Arabidopsis thaliana: one gene and its partner. The protein of the gene in region 1 interacts with the protein of each later gene in a pairwise test. Each region holds a gene or a part of one and is shown in the gene's direction. Other genes may lie near its edges.

Region 1 (4,431 bases):
TTTTATTTTTGACGCCAACTTATCAGATTTTTTTTTTTATGCAGAAGTAAAAAAAATACACTAAATTTTGTTTGCAAGAGCCAAGATGCTTATATTTCATGGGATGTACTGTCTTGGTGATGTGATATAGTAATATAGTGATATAGATCCAGAAAACTGTTAAATATTTAGATGCTTTGATACCATATCAGGAATCTTCAATCTTCTGTAACAAACTCTTGAGAGAGAGAGTGAAAGAGAAAGAAGAAAAAGATAGAAACAAAATAATCGTCTATTTGTAAATGTGTACAATGTACTGTATATATACTCTATCACATTTTATACTATAGAGTAAAATATACTCATGATAATATTATAGTTAATTTAGTATTTAGATCTTGAGAAATGAAATACTATATAAAAATATAAAATTCGAGGGATTTAGTATTAAATTTTTATGGAGATTTGTAAAACACTGAATTTGGTTTGCAGGCGCCAAGATGCTTCTGTCATGGGGCGTAGTAATGGAGGAAAAGAGGGAGAGATCTAGTTGTAAGTGAACTGGCTTTTATTTCTATTTTAGTACTTAGATTATAATATCCCAAGTATATTTTGTTTACCTAGCTTACCATTTCTATGAAGTTCAACAATTCCGACAAATACTTGACTTAAAATATCAACTTTACATAAAAGAGTTTCATGTTTGATTGATTATTTTTACCTAATCGATTATATATTAAGAGTAGCACGTTTGCACAAGACACAAGACACATGAGTTCCAGGAAAGTAAAAATTATCTTAGTGTCGATCACTTGTAGTATAATGTTTGAATATTCTGATTGAATAAAATATAAACTTTTGTGATTTTGTTTGTTCATAATCGAACGTCTTTGACAGTCATGGTGATTCACACATTTAATCAAACTGTGTATAAAAGATGAGAGCTTTTAGAAGAGAACGCCAATGGTTAAATTCAAATCATACTTTAATCTTTTTTTTATTGTTGAATTTACAATTTTCTTGAAAAAAAGAAAATTCGTGGAAATAATTAATGTCGTAACCAATACCATATAATATACCATAAAATCGTAGCGAGATCTTTGGTTGGTGTCACATTTTTAGTTTACAAGAGAAAAGTATAAAACTAATGGGAATATGTATTAGATTATATTCAATTGGACCCACAATTTGATTATGGAAAGTTTCCTGTCATCTTCTGTCTATTTTTGCTTATCATAAGTTCGCTTATCATAAGAAATTTATGAAAATTAATCATGAATGCTTTCCTTTTATTGGTTCTTCAACAACATACATATTCAGATAGTGAGTGAAGGACACTTTAGTATAAATTACTTGACTATATATATAAGTTTATTACTCAGTAATAATAGCAGAATTTGAATACAAGCTTTCTATATACAAATGTTTTTACAATTGGCCAACAACATTTTGATGCGCGTCATAAGGTTTAATATTTTTATATGATGTTAGAAAATATTTTTTTGAACAGTTTTGATTTTTAATTGGTTTCATATTCGCATACCACACCTGATACATAAATTCATGTCAAATTTGGATGCATTTTGAAAAATGTATTTATGGAGAAACTAATATTTTTTTAAAAATAAAACCAAGGGAAACAAGATGAGTAAACATATATCAAAACAAAATAAAAATTGAGGCGATTTTTTTTGTTTCTAAGAAGAAACCCTAAAAATACACTTAATAATATAAACTCAAAAACCTGATATATTCAATAGACGAATACCCTTTTTGTCTCCGGCCCGCAACATTTTTATATTCATTCAAATAGGACCTCAAAATACTGTATACGTCAATGAGTAACTTTGAACAACCTGTGAAATTTGACAAATATAAAACAATCTATAATATAATTAATTAGTTTTGACACCCAAATGCTGTGAGAAAAAAGGAATATTTTTAGTGTGAAAGTTGAGTAGTATTGCCTTTCACACGTGCAAATTACTTCATATGTGTGTCCATCTCTATATATACATGTACATATATGCATGTGCATTCCACTGTTTTCACACACAAATCTCTCTTCTCTCTCTCTCTTCTCCTAGAAGCTGGTGAGTTTTATTTCTTTGTGATTCAAAAAACATAAATCTCAACCCTTACTAAATGTTTCTTGATCTTGGGTTTTTACTATACGTCAAATCTTGTATTTGAAACCCAAGATGATCTGCTAATTTATCTTTTTTCTTGGTTAAATACAGTTTCTTGTTTATAAATCATACACTAATATTCTTTTTACCATTTTCAGATTTTCAGAGGCAACAGCAATGAGTATCTTATCCACAAGATGGTTTTCTGAGCAGGTATATATGCGCATAAACACATACACTCATGTATATATGTTGTCATCTGGGACTGTTTTTCATTGTTTTTTGTTCTTTTTTCTTTTGGGTGTGATGTTATATTTTAGGAAATAGAAGAAAATAGCATAATTCAACAGTTTCACATGAACTCAATAGTGGGAGAGGTCCAAGAAGCTCAATACATTTTTCCACACTCTTTCACGACCAACAATGATCCCTCTTATGATGATTTGATCGAAATGAAACCACCAAAGATCCTTGAGACAACTTACATATCACCTTCTTCTCATCTTCCTCCAAATTCAAAGCCCCATCATATTCACCGTCATTCTTCCTCAAGAATTCTCTCTTTCGAAGATTATGGTTCAAATGATATGGAACACGAGTACTCTCCCACCTACCTAAACTCAATCTTTAGCCCAAAATTAGAGGCTCAAGTGCAACCACACCAGAAGAGTGATGAGTTTAATCGAAAAGGGACCAAGAGGGCTCAACCGTTTTCAAGAAACCAATCCAATGCTCAGGATCACATAATAGCCGAAAGAAAACGTAGAGAGAAGCTTACTCAAAGATTCGTAGCTCTTTCCGCTCTAGTTCCTGGCCTTAAAAAGGTATACATACCATCAGATCTTCCTTCTTGATTACCTTTTTCAAAAAAATACATGTTTTTGAATCTATAGGTGTAATTTTTTTCTAATTGCGTGCATAGATGGACAAGGCTTCTGTGTTGGGAGATGCATTAAAGCATATAAAGTATCTCCAAGAAAGAGTGGGAGAGTTGGAGGAACAGAAGAAAGAAAGAAGATTGGAATCAATGGTTCTTGTGAAGAAGTCTAAGCTGATCTTGGACGATAATAATCAATCATTCTCTTCTTCTTGTGAAGATGGCTTCTCGGACTTGGATCTTCCCGAGATCGAGGTAAGATTCTCGGATGAAGATGTTCTAATCAAGATCCTTTGCGAGAAGCAAAAGGGTCATCTTGCCAAGATTATGGCCGAGATTGAGAAACTTCATATCTTGATAACTAATTCAAGTGTATTGAATTTTGGACCAACTCTTGATATCACCATTATAGCTAAGGTATGCAAATGTATATTCAGGCATACACTTATACATATAAATGAAGAACTTGTTCTTAATTTTAGAGTAACATCGCTTGATGTTTATTTTTCAGAAGGAGAGTGATTTCGACATGACACTCATGGATGTTGTAAAGAGCTTAAGGTCTGCTTTGTCGAATTTCATATGATTGTATTAACTTTCATGCTTCTCGTCAATTTCTACTGTGGGAGATCTTGTTGAACACATGGACGAAACATAAGTGGTTTGCCATGAAAATGTTTTTTTTTTTTTATAAGTTTGATTGGAGGTTTTCTTATCTGTTAATTATCTATAATTCTATATATAAATAAGATTAAATTAGTTGAAAATTCACTTCTCTTTTTTTCTCTATTTGGTTCTTTCCCCCTTTATGTATTATATTGCTGTTTCCAAAGATGTAAAGCACTTCCGTTTATGTATTTGTATTATATGGTTTATATTTTGTAAGTCTGTTCAATCTTATACCAAATCACTAAAGTTTGTAGTAATAATTTTTTGGGAGGAGTTAGAGCAAGTTATTGGTGCACAAAAATTTAGAGCAATTTATATTGAATTTGATTGATTACTGTCATTATGAGTAAGAGTAATTTGAATTCAAAGTAACATATGGTAAATTAGCACTGTCAAATACAACAAAGTACCCAGTCCAAGACATTCTAGATTCAGAAAATCATAATAAAAAAAAAAATTATCACTTGGATAATCAAGGCAAGGAATGCGGCATGACGACCAAGTCTTTCCTTCCGTGTTAGAGAACAACAAGGATAATCATAGGATACTAACAAAGTTGGACAAATCGTGGATTCGGAAAGTGGATAACTATCCTTCTCTTTCTTTCAGCTATAATAAAAATATTATATCCGCAATGCGAAAAATGAACAATTATGGTTTCACATTTCACAAAACAATAGATAATATGTGTACATATGCATATATACAAACACTATATCCAGGTGCAAAACGTCTGAATCGTGTATATATAATATATATATTACATATTATTGCAAC
Region 2 (3,279 bases), on another chromosome or scaffold:
TAGTTGCTTGCTTCTTTGATGACAAAAAAAAAAAAGCAAGCAGTCAGATAAATCAATGATAATCTAAAAAAAAGAAAAATCTGACGAAAAAAAAAAAGAAAAAAAAGAAAAATCTGAAGGTTGTACACTTGTAGAAGATATTTTACACACACAGCCCAATAAAAACCCAAATCCAAAAACTGGAGTATCCAAAAAAAACACGGCTGTTTCATTCATCTCCTCACACAACAACTTAACCCTCACTAGCCCACGTGTTTACTTTCTCAACCATTCCCTTATCTCCCAAAATTGTATTTACTTCAAAAATAAACCGAACCGTATCAAATTAAAACAAGACCACACTTTTGTCTGAACACAAAAAAAAAAAAAACTTTTATTTTTTCCTCGAGACGTCTCTCTTCTTCAATTTCTTCACGATTCTACTTTTGCGTTATCCCCAAAATTGGCAACCAAAACCAAACCTCTCTCTCTTATTGAAACCAACAATGAGTCCGATCGTCATAACCCAGTTAGCTACAGGAATCAGCGTTTTAGCCGGTGCGGTCTTTATCAAATCAGTCATGGACCAAAAGCCTATGGCTGGTCAATTCCCTCGTTGTCCGACTTGTAACGGTACTGGACGAGTCACGTGTTTCTGTTCTCGATGGTCCGATGGTGACGTTGGATGTCGTAGGTGTTCTGGTTCAGGTCGTGCGGCTTGTAGCAATTGTGGTGGTTCTGGAACTGGTAGACCTTTACCGGCTCAGATTACGGTTCAGCCACCGAATCGTCCTTATTGATGATTCTCAAGAAATTTGTATACTTTGTAAACGATTCTTCTCTCTTGAACTCTCTCACTCTCTGTCTTGTAAGTTGATTATATATATATACACATAGATGAGAAACAGATTTGATAGCTTCTGTGATATTTTTTCTTGTGTTGGGTTGTTTTGTTACTGTTCATAGTCAAAATATTCGAATTTGTCATTATTGGTGGCTCAAATCTTTAGTATTAACTATTAAGAATTAAGATGATGGGTTTGATCCAATGATACGAAAAGTTAGCTTCTTCTTGTATATTGTTGTAAATGGACTTTGTTGGATGTGTTTGGTTCATGTCTAGTACTCAATATGTGACCATGAGATGTTTCAACAGCCTCTTGTTCCAATGGTATGAAATTGGTTCATGTCTACAACCTCAAAACGTTGTAGAGGAAGGAGTGTTGTGTGTGAATTTTGTGAAAAGCTGCGAATAGTAAAGAGGAAACGGATTAGTTATAACAAATTAAACAGCTACAATTGTAGTAGATGGTCTCTCAAGTCTCAAGATTAGAAACATCTCGGAGCCAAAAAAAGGCTTCCTACAGCCATATAGAAGTATAATCTCAAATCATTATCCACACTTGGAACTATCTCTAAAGCTCATTTGTTATTTGATGGCATTTCTAGTTCGATATGCCACTCCTTAAATCCGTTGCGTTCGTGAAGGATCAATGGGGTTCAATTCAGGTAGCTAGGAGATTTGTACCAACTTGTAGCTTTCTAGAATTCCTTGTACAATGTGATCCAAGTAAAAGAAAGAATCGGTTAAAATTTTCAATATAAAACTTTAAAATAGACTACTAGTACTAGTTTGAGCTAGACAGTGACTCATGTAGAAACAATCTCTACAACATAAAAATCTACGAACCATACCGGGTTACCAAACGTTCTTCTCAATCTCACCAATCGGTTTAAGCTGAAAACCCGAATTAGCAAAATCTTCGTTCGGGCTGTTTTGGTTAATCCGGTTTACATGTTTTCTCATTGCTCATTTTCATTTTCCCGCCGTGACAGAGCGCGTAAATCTCAAAACCCTAAAAATGTCGAACATATACAATTCATTACCTTAATCAGATTTTCTCAACAGAATCAAAATCAAAATCCATGGAGGAAGAAGAAGGATCAATCCGACCAGAGTTTCCAATCGGAAGAGTAAAGAAGATAATGAAACTGGACAAAGACATCAACAAAATCAACTCAGAAGCTCTTCACGTCATCACTTACTCCACCGAACTCTTCCTCCACTTCCTCGCCGAGAAATCTGCTGTTGTTACGGCGGAGAAGAAGCGTAAGACTGTTAATCTCGATCATTTAAGAATCGCCGTGAAAAGACACCAACCTACTAGTGATTTCCTCTTAGACTCGCTTCCGTTGCCGGCTCAGCCTGTCAAACATACCAAATCGGTTTCCGACAAGAAGATTCCGGCGCCGCCAATTGGGACTCGTCGTATCGATGATTTCTTCAGTAAAGGGAAAGCAAAGACTGATTCAGCCTAAAGTAAAATTTCTCATTTTGTTCACAATTGCAAATTTTACTCTGTTCTCAAATCAAAATCTTGTTTTGCTAAAAGTGTAGTGAGAATGTATGGATCATGAGGAACTTTTATAGGAATTGGTAATTTTAAAGATGTTGTGTCTATTAGCATTTCTACTAATTGGAGAAACTGATTCTTGTCCTGTGACTGTGAGATACATCTCATTGTGTTGCTTAGAAATCTCTGCATTGCTCTAACTTTGGTGTGTAGAGATTGAGAGAGAGAGAGAGAGAGGTTTGGGATGTGTATTGTTCTTCTAAGCTATTCTTATATGAATACTACTTTTGAGTGTTTATGTTCTTCTGAAAGAACATGGCTATAGAAGTTGTCGCCGTTACAATAGTATGTTATACTTTCTTTGATTGTGAGCTAATAAGCGCGGTTGTGACCGAGCAAAATGAAAGCTTTTGCGGAATGTATGTTTCAGTTTTCTTTAGTTTTTCATTCTGACAAGTTTTCTAGAGTAGAAGTGAACCAGTCTGATGGGTAAAGTCTGAAACTTTTAACAAGAAAGTGTGATATTTCTCAAGATCACTATCCATGGTTACATTTCTCAATAACTCCTCTCAAACTTCATCTTATATCATCTGCTTTGTAGTGTGGATTTGGTATATGTTCTTTATTTGCTTTTATGGTTTCAGACCAAGTCTAGTGGTATTCAATGATGACTTGAGTGTCCAAAAGCTCTTATTATGTTCTCGGAATTGTGAAAGAAAAAAGTGATTATGTTGACATATCAAATTGATTGAATCCAATGGAACATCCACTTTCTTTAATATTCCGTTTAGTTATTATGAGAACTTGAACCGTTATAATTAAACAACATAAACCAAGCAATTGTGTTCTTTTCGGAACTTGTGGTACATGAACCCGGCGAATTGGATTTACTTCGTTATTTGTTGCCTCTTCCATTCCCGAAACCTTTAATTAAGGCCTTTGACCA

The links.
Region 2: the proteins of AT4G37850 (region 1) and NF-YC13 interact in a two-hybrid assay, tested with the Arabidopsis thaliana proteins (one large-scale study listed by BioGRID).

What each region holds. Positions count from the first base shown.
Region 1 is NC_003075.7:17,795,502-17,799,932, reverse strand, and holds AT4G37850 (basic helix-loop-helix (bHLH) DNA-binding superfamily protein), read left to right. Parts: upstream 1-2,031; 5' UTR 2,032-2,072; intron 2,073-2,228; exon of another isoform or gene 2,229-2,266; 5' UTR 2,267-2,285; coding exon 2,286-2,321; intron 2,322-2,428; coding exon 2,429-2,932; intron 2,933-3,030; coding exon 3,031-3,402; intron 3,403-3,496; coding exon 3,497-3,571; 3' UTR 3,572-3,861; downstream 3,862-4,431.
Region 2 is NC_003076.8:17,355,193-17,358,471, reverse strand, and holds NF-YC13 (nuclear factor Y, subunit C13), read left to right. Parts: upstream 1-1,765; 5' UTR 1,766-1,905; coding exon 1,906-2,298; 3' UTR 2,299-2,627; downstream 2,628-3,279. Other genes in the region: AT5G43260 (chaperone protein dnaJ-like protein), read left to right, coding at 486-779.